Rhinolophus ferrumequinum: one gene and its partner. The protein of the gene in region 1 purifies or fractionates together with the protein of each later gene. This does not show direct contact. Links are inferred from orthologs where the notes say so. Each region holds a gene or a part of one and is shown in the gene's direction. Other genes may lie near its edges.

Evidence for each region.
Region 2: the proteins of RANBP6 (region 1) and ARMCX3 purify together in Homo sapiens (co-immunoprecipitation; 3 studies listed by BioGRID and IntAct, counting the BioPlex papers as one, with this or other methods). This does not show direct contact. The link is inferred for Rhinolophus ferrumequinum from reciprocal best matches to the Homo sapiens genes RANBP6 and ARMCX3.

The regions. Positions count from the first base shown.
Region 1 is NC_046295.1:30,829,135-30,833,052, forward strand, and holds the start of RANBP6 (ran-binding protein 6), read left to right. Parts: upstream 1-1,073; 5' UTR 1,074-1,100; coding exon 1,101-3,918. UniProt on the Homo sapiens protein: May function in nuclear protein import as nuclear transport receptor.
Region 2 is NC_046284.1:52,950,301-52,954,218, reverse strand, and holds the start of ARMCX3 (armadillo repeat-containing X-linked protein 3), read left to right. Parts: upstream 1-1,320; 5' UTR 1,321-1,474; intron 1,475-1,975; exon of another isoform or gene 1,976-1,995; 5' UTR 1,996-2,082; intron 2,083-2,365; 5' UTR 2,366-2,426; intron 2,427-3,022; 5' UTR 3,023-3,165; coding exon 3,166-3,918. UniProt on the Homo sapiens protein: Regulates mitochondrial aggregation and transport in axons in living neurons. May link mitochondria to the TRAK2-kinesin motor complex via its interaction with Miro and TRAK2.

The DNA.
Region 1 (3,918 bases):
AGAATGGCACAGGAATAATACAAAAGTAAAATCCAATCATTGTTAAAGGAATGATCATTATTTTTGATTGATACACCTGTCCTGAATTAAAGAAATAATATTTAGCCTCAGAGGCATTTGTTTTTTGGAATAATCTCAGCAGCTTCCTACTGAAAGGAAAACTGTAAAAGCATTTTACAGTTTAGGCAACGTGCAAGGAAAACCTTGAGTGATATGACCAAGGATACAAAATTAATTTAGAGGTAAGAGCAGGATTCAAGTCTTCTGATTACTGGCCCAGGTCACTTTCCACCATACTTTACTCAGTTGTCTTTCTCATTCTTTATTATAATCCACAGGCCAGATGACTCTGACACATGCCAGAGTTTGATCACCACTGTTCTATTGCATTAGGTATGGTAGTGGGGTGGTAATAATCGTCTTTATCTTTTATTGCACTTATTTGATAAGCAACTTTATTGAGGTATTATTTACATACCATACAATTCACCAATCTAAATTGTACAATTCAATGGTTTTTAGTATGATCACAGAGATGTGCAACCATCACCACAATCAATTTTTATCTTTACATTTTCATCACCCCAAAAGAAACCCCCTGACAGCCATCATTCTTCATTCTCCCTGCTCCTCCCTTCGCCCCAGCTTCTGGCAACCACTAATCTACTTTCTGTATAGATTTGCCTATTCAAGGCCTTTCATATAAATGGAATCATACAATATTTAGCCTTTTGTGATCAGCTTCTTTCACTTAGCCGGTTGTCAACTTGTACTTGTTGTTTTAACATTATCAGGGTAACAATAGAGATAATTTAGAAATAAAGCAAAGGAGAAAAAAAATCACCCATAATCCCATCTTATACAATCAACATCATAATTGTGTTTTTCCCCCCTTCTGCATGTGCATTTTTATCTGTCAAACAGATGGAGGATGCCCCTTACCCGGACCCCGCTCCCCCCCTCCCAAAGCTCAGCCAGCGCGCCCGGAGCGGAGGGAGAAGCGGCCCCGCCCATCCCCACCGGCGCCTCGCTTGCGTCACTGCTTGGAGCCACAGACCCCCCTCCCTCCTTCCGGGTCGCGGTTGCTTTGACAGAGCGCGATGGCGGCGGCCGGGTCTGCAGGGGCACCGGCGACCGTGTCGGGAAAGCAAGAGTTTTACCAGCTTCTGAAGAACCTGATCAATCCAAGCTGTATGGTGCGGAGGCAGGCAGAGGAAATCTATGAAAACATCCCAGGTCTGTGTAAGACTACATTCCTCTTAGATGCCGTCAGAAATAGAAGAGCAGGTTATGAGGTGAGACAAATGGCTGCCGCACTGCTACGACGGCTTTTGTCCTCTGGGTTTGAGGAAGTCTATCCAAATCTGCCTTCTGATGTTCAGAGGGACGTGAAGATTGAACTGATACTGGCTGTTAAGTTAGAAACACATGCTAGTATGAGGAAAAAACTTTGTGATATTTTTGCGGTGCTGGCCAGGAATTTGATAGATGAGGATGGCACTAACCACTGGCCTGAAGGTCTGAAGTTCCTTATTGATTCAATCTACTCTAAAAATGTGGTTCTGTGGGAAGTTGCACTTCACGTTTTCTGGCACTTTCCTGGGATTTTTGGGAACCAAGAGCGGCACGATTTGGATATCATCAAACGGTTGTTGGACCAGTGTATTCAAGATCAAGAACATCCAGCAATCAGGACATTATCCGCTAGAGCTGCAGCTGCATTTGTACTTGCCAATGAGAGTAATATTGCTCTTTTCAAAGACTTTGCAGACTTGCTCCCTGGAATCTTACAGGCTGTGAATGACTCATGCTACCAGGATGATGATTCAGTGCTAGAATCCCTTGTTGAGATTGCAGATACTGTACCTAAATACTTGGGTCCGTATTTAGAAGATACTCTGCAGTTGAGTCTAAAGTTATGTGGAGACTCAAGGCTTAGTAATCTGCAACGCCAGCTGGCCCTTGAAGTAATAGTCACCTTGTCTGAAACTGCAACCCCAATGTTGAAAAAACATACAAATATTATTGCACAGGCAGTTCCTCATATATTAGCAATGATGGTTGATCTACAAGATGATGAGGACTGGGTAAATGCTGATGAAATGGAAGAAGATGATTTTGATAGCAATGCAGTTGCAGCTGAGAGTGCACTAGACAGACTGGCTTGCGGGCTCGGTGGAAAACTTGTTTTACCAATCACTAAGGAGCATATCATGCAGATGCTTCAGAGCCCTGACTGGAAATATCGACATGCTGGATTAATGGCCTTATCCGCCATTGGAGAAGGATGCCATCAGCAAATGGAACCAATTTTAGATGAAATGGTTAACTCTGTTTTGCTTTTTCTTCAGGATCCTCATCCAAGGGTGAGGGCTGCAGCCTGTACTACACTTGGACAGATGGCTACAGATTTTGCGCCTAACTTCCAAAAGAAATTCCATGAAACAGTGATTGCAGCACTGTTACGTACCATGGAAAATCAAGGCAATCAGCGTGTGCAATCACATGCAGCTTCTGCACTTGTTATTTTTATTGAAGACTGCCCCAAATCATTGCTAGTTCTGTATTTGGATAGTATGGTGAGAAATCTACATTCCATCTTGGTGATTAAACTTCAAGAGTTGATTCGGAATGGAACTAAGTTGGCCTTGGAACAGCTTGTGACAACCATTGCCTCAGTTGCGGATACAATAGAAGAAAAATTCATTCCATATTATGATATATTTATGCCCTCACTAAAGCACATTGTTGAGCTTGCTGTTCAAAAAGAACTCAAGCTTCTGAAAGGAAAAACTATTGAGTGCATTAGCCATGTTGGTCTTGCTGTTGGGAAGGAAAAATTTATGCAAGATGCATCAAATGTGATGCAGCTATTGTTGAAGACACAATCAGACTTAAATAATATGGAAGATGATGATCCTCAGACCTCTTACGTGGTTTCAGCGTGGGCTAGAATGTGTAAAATTCTTGGAAATGATTTTCAACAGTATCTTCCACTGGTTATTGAGCCTCTTATTAAGACCGCTTCAGCTAAACCTGATGTTGCTCTCTTAGACACACAAGATGTGGAGAATATGAGTGATGATGATGGCTGGCAATTTGTAAATCTTGGAGACCAGCAAAGTTTTGGAATTAAAACTTCAGGACTTGAAGCAAAAGCAACTGCTTGCCAGATGTTGGTTTACTATGCTAAGGAATTAAGGGAAGGATTTGTGGAATACACAGAACAAGTTGTAAAGCTGATGGTTCCTTTACTGAAATTTTATTTCCATGACAATGTTCGAGTGGCAGCAGCTGAGTCCATGCCTTTTCTCCTGGAATGTGCAAGAATTCGTGGCCCAGAATATCTTGCACAGATGTGGCAGTTCATATGTGATCCCTTAATCAAGGCTATTGGGACTGAACCTGATACAGATGTACTCTCAGAAATAATGAATTCTTTTGCAAAGTCCATTGAAGTAATGGGAGATGGGTGCCTTAATGACGGACAGTTGGAAGAACTGAGAGAAATATTGAAAGCAAAACTTGAAGGTCACTTTAAAAATCAAGAATTGAGGCAGGTTAAAAGACAGGAAGAAAACTATGACCAACAAGTTGAAATGTCTCTGCAAGATGAGGATGAATGTGATGTTTACATTCTGACCAAAGTATCTGATATTTTGCACTCATTATTTAGTACTTACAAGGAAAAGATTTTACCATGGTTTGAACAGCTGCTTCCATTAATTGTAAATCTAATTTGTTCTAATAGGCCATGGCCAGACAGACAGTGGGGATTATGCATATTTGATGATATCATAGAGCACTGTAGTCCAACCTCATTTAAATATGTAGAATATTTTCGGTGGCCAATGCTACTAAATATGCGAGATAACAACCCTGAAGTCAGGCAAGCTGCTGCTTATGGCCTGGGTGTTA
Region 2 (3,918 bases), on another chromosome or scaffold:
CATGCTCTTTCTCTAAACACAGAATCATATAGTTGATGTGGTTTCTGTTTACTAAATTTCAGTCATTTCTAAGTACTGCCTCCCAGAAATTATATTGCTATGAATTTAACTGGAGTTTTGTCTGTTCCCAAATTGTCAAGTCTCTTAATTAGCTCCCACATTGTCTCAGGATTTAAAAAGTTATACTCAGATAATAAACTTATATCCAAGCTGTTAGGGAATGTCCCACTGTAGACCTCATGTTTTGACATTATTTTATTACTTTTCCCTCTATAAAAAAGTTCAGTTGTGGCTGACAGGTGAATCACTGAGTTCATCAAAACTGTTGGTGAAATGGTTTGGCACTAAATTGCTAGATGCGAATTCAGCCAATTTTATCTTGGTCTCAGTGTTTCTCTAACAACTATTTCATTTAAAGATAATGTTTTCTATTTGTACCCAAATATATTTCATAATGTTCTTTGTATGCCACTCACTGTGTCAGTATGTATGCTTTCTTATCCAACAGATATCCACTATGTAGTTGTGGTTTCTACTCAACCTTTTGTGTGTAACTGGTTTCTGAGGGCTCCATGCCTCTTCCTTGCTAACTGAGGTAAGTAGAAGTCTGTGACTTCCCTGTTCAGAAGACTGGCCTAAATTAGATCTATGCATTGTCAGACACACTGATTAGCTCATTCAGGGTTGTGTTATGGGCTAGGCCCAAAAAGACATTAAGATTGCTTTGAGCGAAGCATGTAATATTCCCCATAAATGAGAAAATGTGGGACTTTTGGAGGCCATCCACCCAAATTAACTCTTCAATTCCAACTTTTTTTTTTCTCAAATGAAAACAACTTTATAGTAATTTCTTTTCTCATAAAAAGAATGCAGGCTGGGGGCAGGAGACGGCAGAACAAAAATAACAAAAAAAAGTATTTAAAAAGTAAAAACCACACTCATACTCCAAGTCTCCTTTTCTGATGTTTCTTTCTTTCTTTTTTTTTCCTTCTCGTTTCAAATCTGGGACTAGATTTCAGAGGAAATGGTAGACATTAATAGCTGGGAGGAGGGGAGGTGGAAGGAGAGGTTGAGGTCCCAGAAGCCTAGGGAAGGAAGAGGCAATTTTTCAAAAAGTGCAAGTGACCAGTAACCCCAGGGAAGATTCTCTCCCTTTCCGGTAATCGGAGGAAGGCAAACACAACTAACTGGTTGATGGAATTAGCAAAGAAAGAGTAACAGGGCCTGGTATGGGGGAGGGAATGTAGGGGGGCGGGTCCTCTTCTGCCGCACTGCTGGTGGGAGGGGAAATTGGGGACCAGAGTTGGTGGATGACGTAGCTCTCACGTGACCAAGAGCTGACGTGTGCAGAAGTCCTTCTTGTTCTGGTCGTTGTTCCCGTCTGAGTACCAGCTCCCCATTGCCCTGAGGGCGAGCGAGCCTGAGGCAGAGGGAAGAAGGAGGAGGAGAAGGAAACTGTCCCGGATCCCTGCAGGTCAGTGCCTGGGAGATTCCTTAAGGTGGGGGTGTTCGAGGGCGTAGGGCGGAGACCGTCGCGGGTCCTGAGGCGCCTCCGTCGTCTCTCCCACTCGCCACCGGCTTTACAAGACATCTGTCCCGCCTGCAGCCCATTCTGATGCTGCGAAATGGTGAGCAGGGGGTGTTTGGGGAGCAGCCCAGAAACCGGGAGGTGGGAATCTGTTACGAGCTGAGGCCGTAATCCGGAAAGGGAGATGTGGCCTGGGTGTTGGCCCCCAGTCCTCTAGGGCACTGCTGGCGGGGAAAGCCTGGACATGGGGGAGGGGGCGTGCAACGTGATGTGTCAGCAGAGCCCTGAGAAGGGTAATAAGGGTGGGAAACCTTTGACAGCTAGGCCTCCGAATTAGGAAAGAGTTTCATGTTCTGGGGACCGGTCCGTCCACCAAGCATTCGGTAGCGGCTGTTTCCAGTCTTTCTGACTGTGGCTGTGTCTTCCTGACCGTGGCTCTGTGTTTAGTGGGTCCGATCCTCTCCCAGTTGCCAGTGTTTCCATAGTTTGCGACACTACGCCAGTCAAGTGAAGAGGAAGGAAATTAACCCTGATCAGTGAAGGTCGATTTGAGGGTAAGACCATCTGGGGACCCTAAGAGGGGCGATGGTGGGGGTGGGGAGAAACCAGAGATGACAATAATATAGGTTAGGTCTGAGTCTGAGTGTGTTTATCTTACTCTTGGGACTGAGGCGAAATGGCGTGCGGGGTGTGTGTGTGTGTGTGTGTGTGTGTGTGTGTGTAGGGGGAACGGGGGTGGGGGAGAATGACAGAAGGGAAACCTATCAGGTAGTTTGTTCATAATCCTTCTCTCTCAAAAGTATTTAGTCTTCATGTTTTCGATCTGTCATCCTGCAGGTCTGCTGTAGCAGGTGGCACCACTTGAAGCAAGGGAGGAAGTTTCCTGGGACCAGTAGAGGTAGGTGTGGGCGTGGGGGCTGCCTGGAATGGGGGAGGGGTTGGAAATCCACTGCGATTGGACAGGTTCACCCAATCCTACCTTATTTCCCTAACAGGGAAGGGGCAGGCCTGTGCATATTTTGGATGGCATAAAGAGGTTATTAAGAAAAAAATCTAACAACCTAGATGGGGAATCAGGAAAGCAAGGAATGAACAGTCAGTCTATCAAGCCCTCAGTTCTCGCTGGCTCTGGTCTCTGCAGATCACAAGGATTGTTGGGTGTGGCAAACCTCCAGGGGAGGGAAGAAGGGGCAAACTGCCTGTCTGGAAGAAGTTAGTGCAAGGTTGCCACCTAGTGCAAGGGGGACACCCAAGGTTGGATTGGCTGAGGCCCCAGTAGAGACTATGGACTCCATTGCCTTTATCTAGGCTTGGGGAGGGGGTGGGCTGGAGAGGGTAGGTGGAGGGTGGAATGAGGGGGATAGAGTTTGTCAACAATCTACATTTTCTATCAAGTACTCATTTACTACTCTCCTATCTCTCTGTGCAACTCCCTGCGTGGGGCAACACAAAGAGAAGAGAAACTCAAACCCCATTTCCTTCCTCCACCCCTAGGTTCACCTCCAGTATCAGCTATTGTGACCTTGAAGCTGCTGAAGACGATTACCCTCCACAGGCCTGCACCCAGGCCCATAGCTCTTCCCTAGCCTGAGTGACTACTCGGTTCCTTGGTCCCTGCTATTGTCAGGGACGATTGCATGGGCTACGCCAGGAAAGTAGGCTGGGTGACTGCGGGACTGGTGATTGGGGCTGGTGCCTGCTACTGCATTTATAGACTGACCTGGGGAAGAAAACAGAACAAAGAGAAAATGGCTGAGGGTGGGCCTGGGGATGTGGATGATGTCGGAGGCTGTCCTGGGGCCAGGTACAATGACTGGTCTGATGATGATGATGACAACAGTGAGAACAAGGGTATAGTATGGTACCCACCTTGGGCCCGGATTGGGACTGAAGCTGGGACCAGAGCTAGGGCCAGGGCAAGGGCCAGGGCTACCCGGGCTCGTCGGGCTGTTCAGAAACGGGCTTCCCCCAACTCAGATGATACTATTTTGTCCCCCCAAGAGCTGCAAAAAGTTCTTTGCTTGGTTGAGATGTCTGAAAAGCCTTATATTCTTGAAGCAGCTTTAATTGCTCTGGGTAACAATGCTGCTTATGCATTTAACAGAGATATTATTCGTGATCTGGGTGGTCTCCCAATTGTTGCAAAGATTCTCAATACTCGGGATCCCATTGTTAAGGAAAAGGCTTTAATTGTCCTGAATAACCTGAGTGTGAATGCTGAAAATCAGCGCAGGCTTAAAATATACATGAATCAAGTGTGTGATGACACAATTACTTCTCGCTTGAACTCATCTGTGCAGCTGGCTGGACTAAGATTGCTTACGAATATGACTGTTACTAATGAGTATCAGCACATGCTTGCTAATTCCATTTCAGACTTTTTTCGTTTA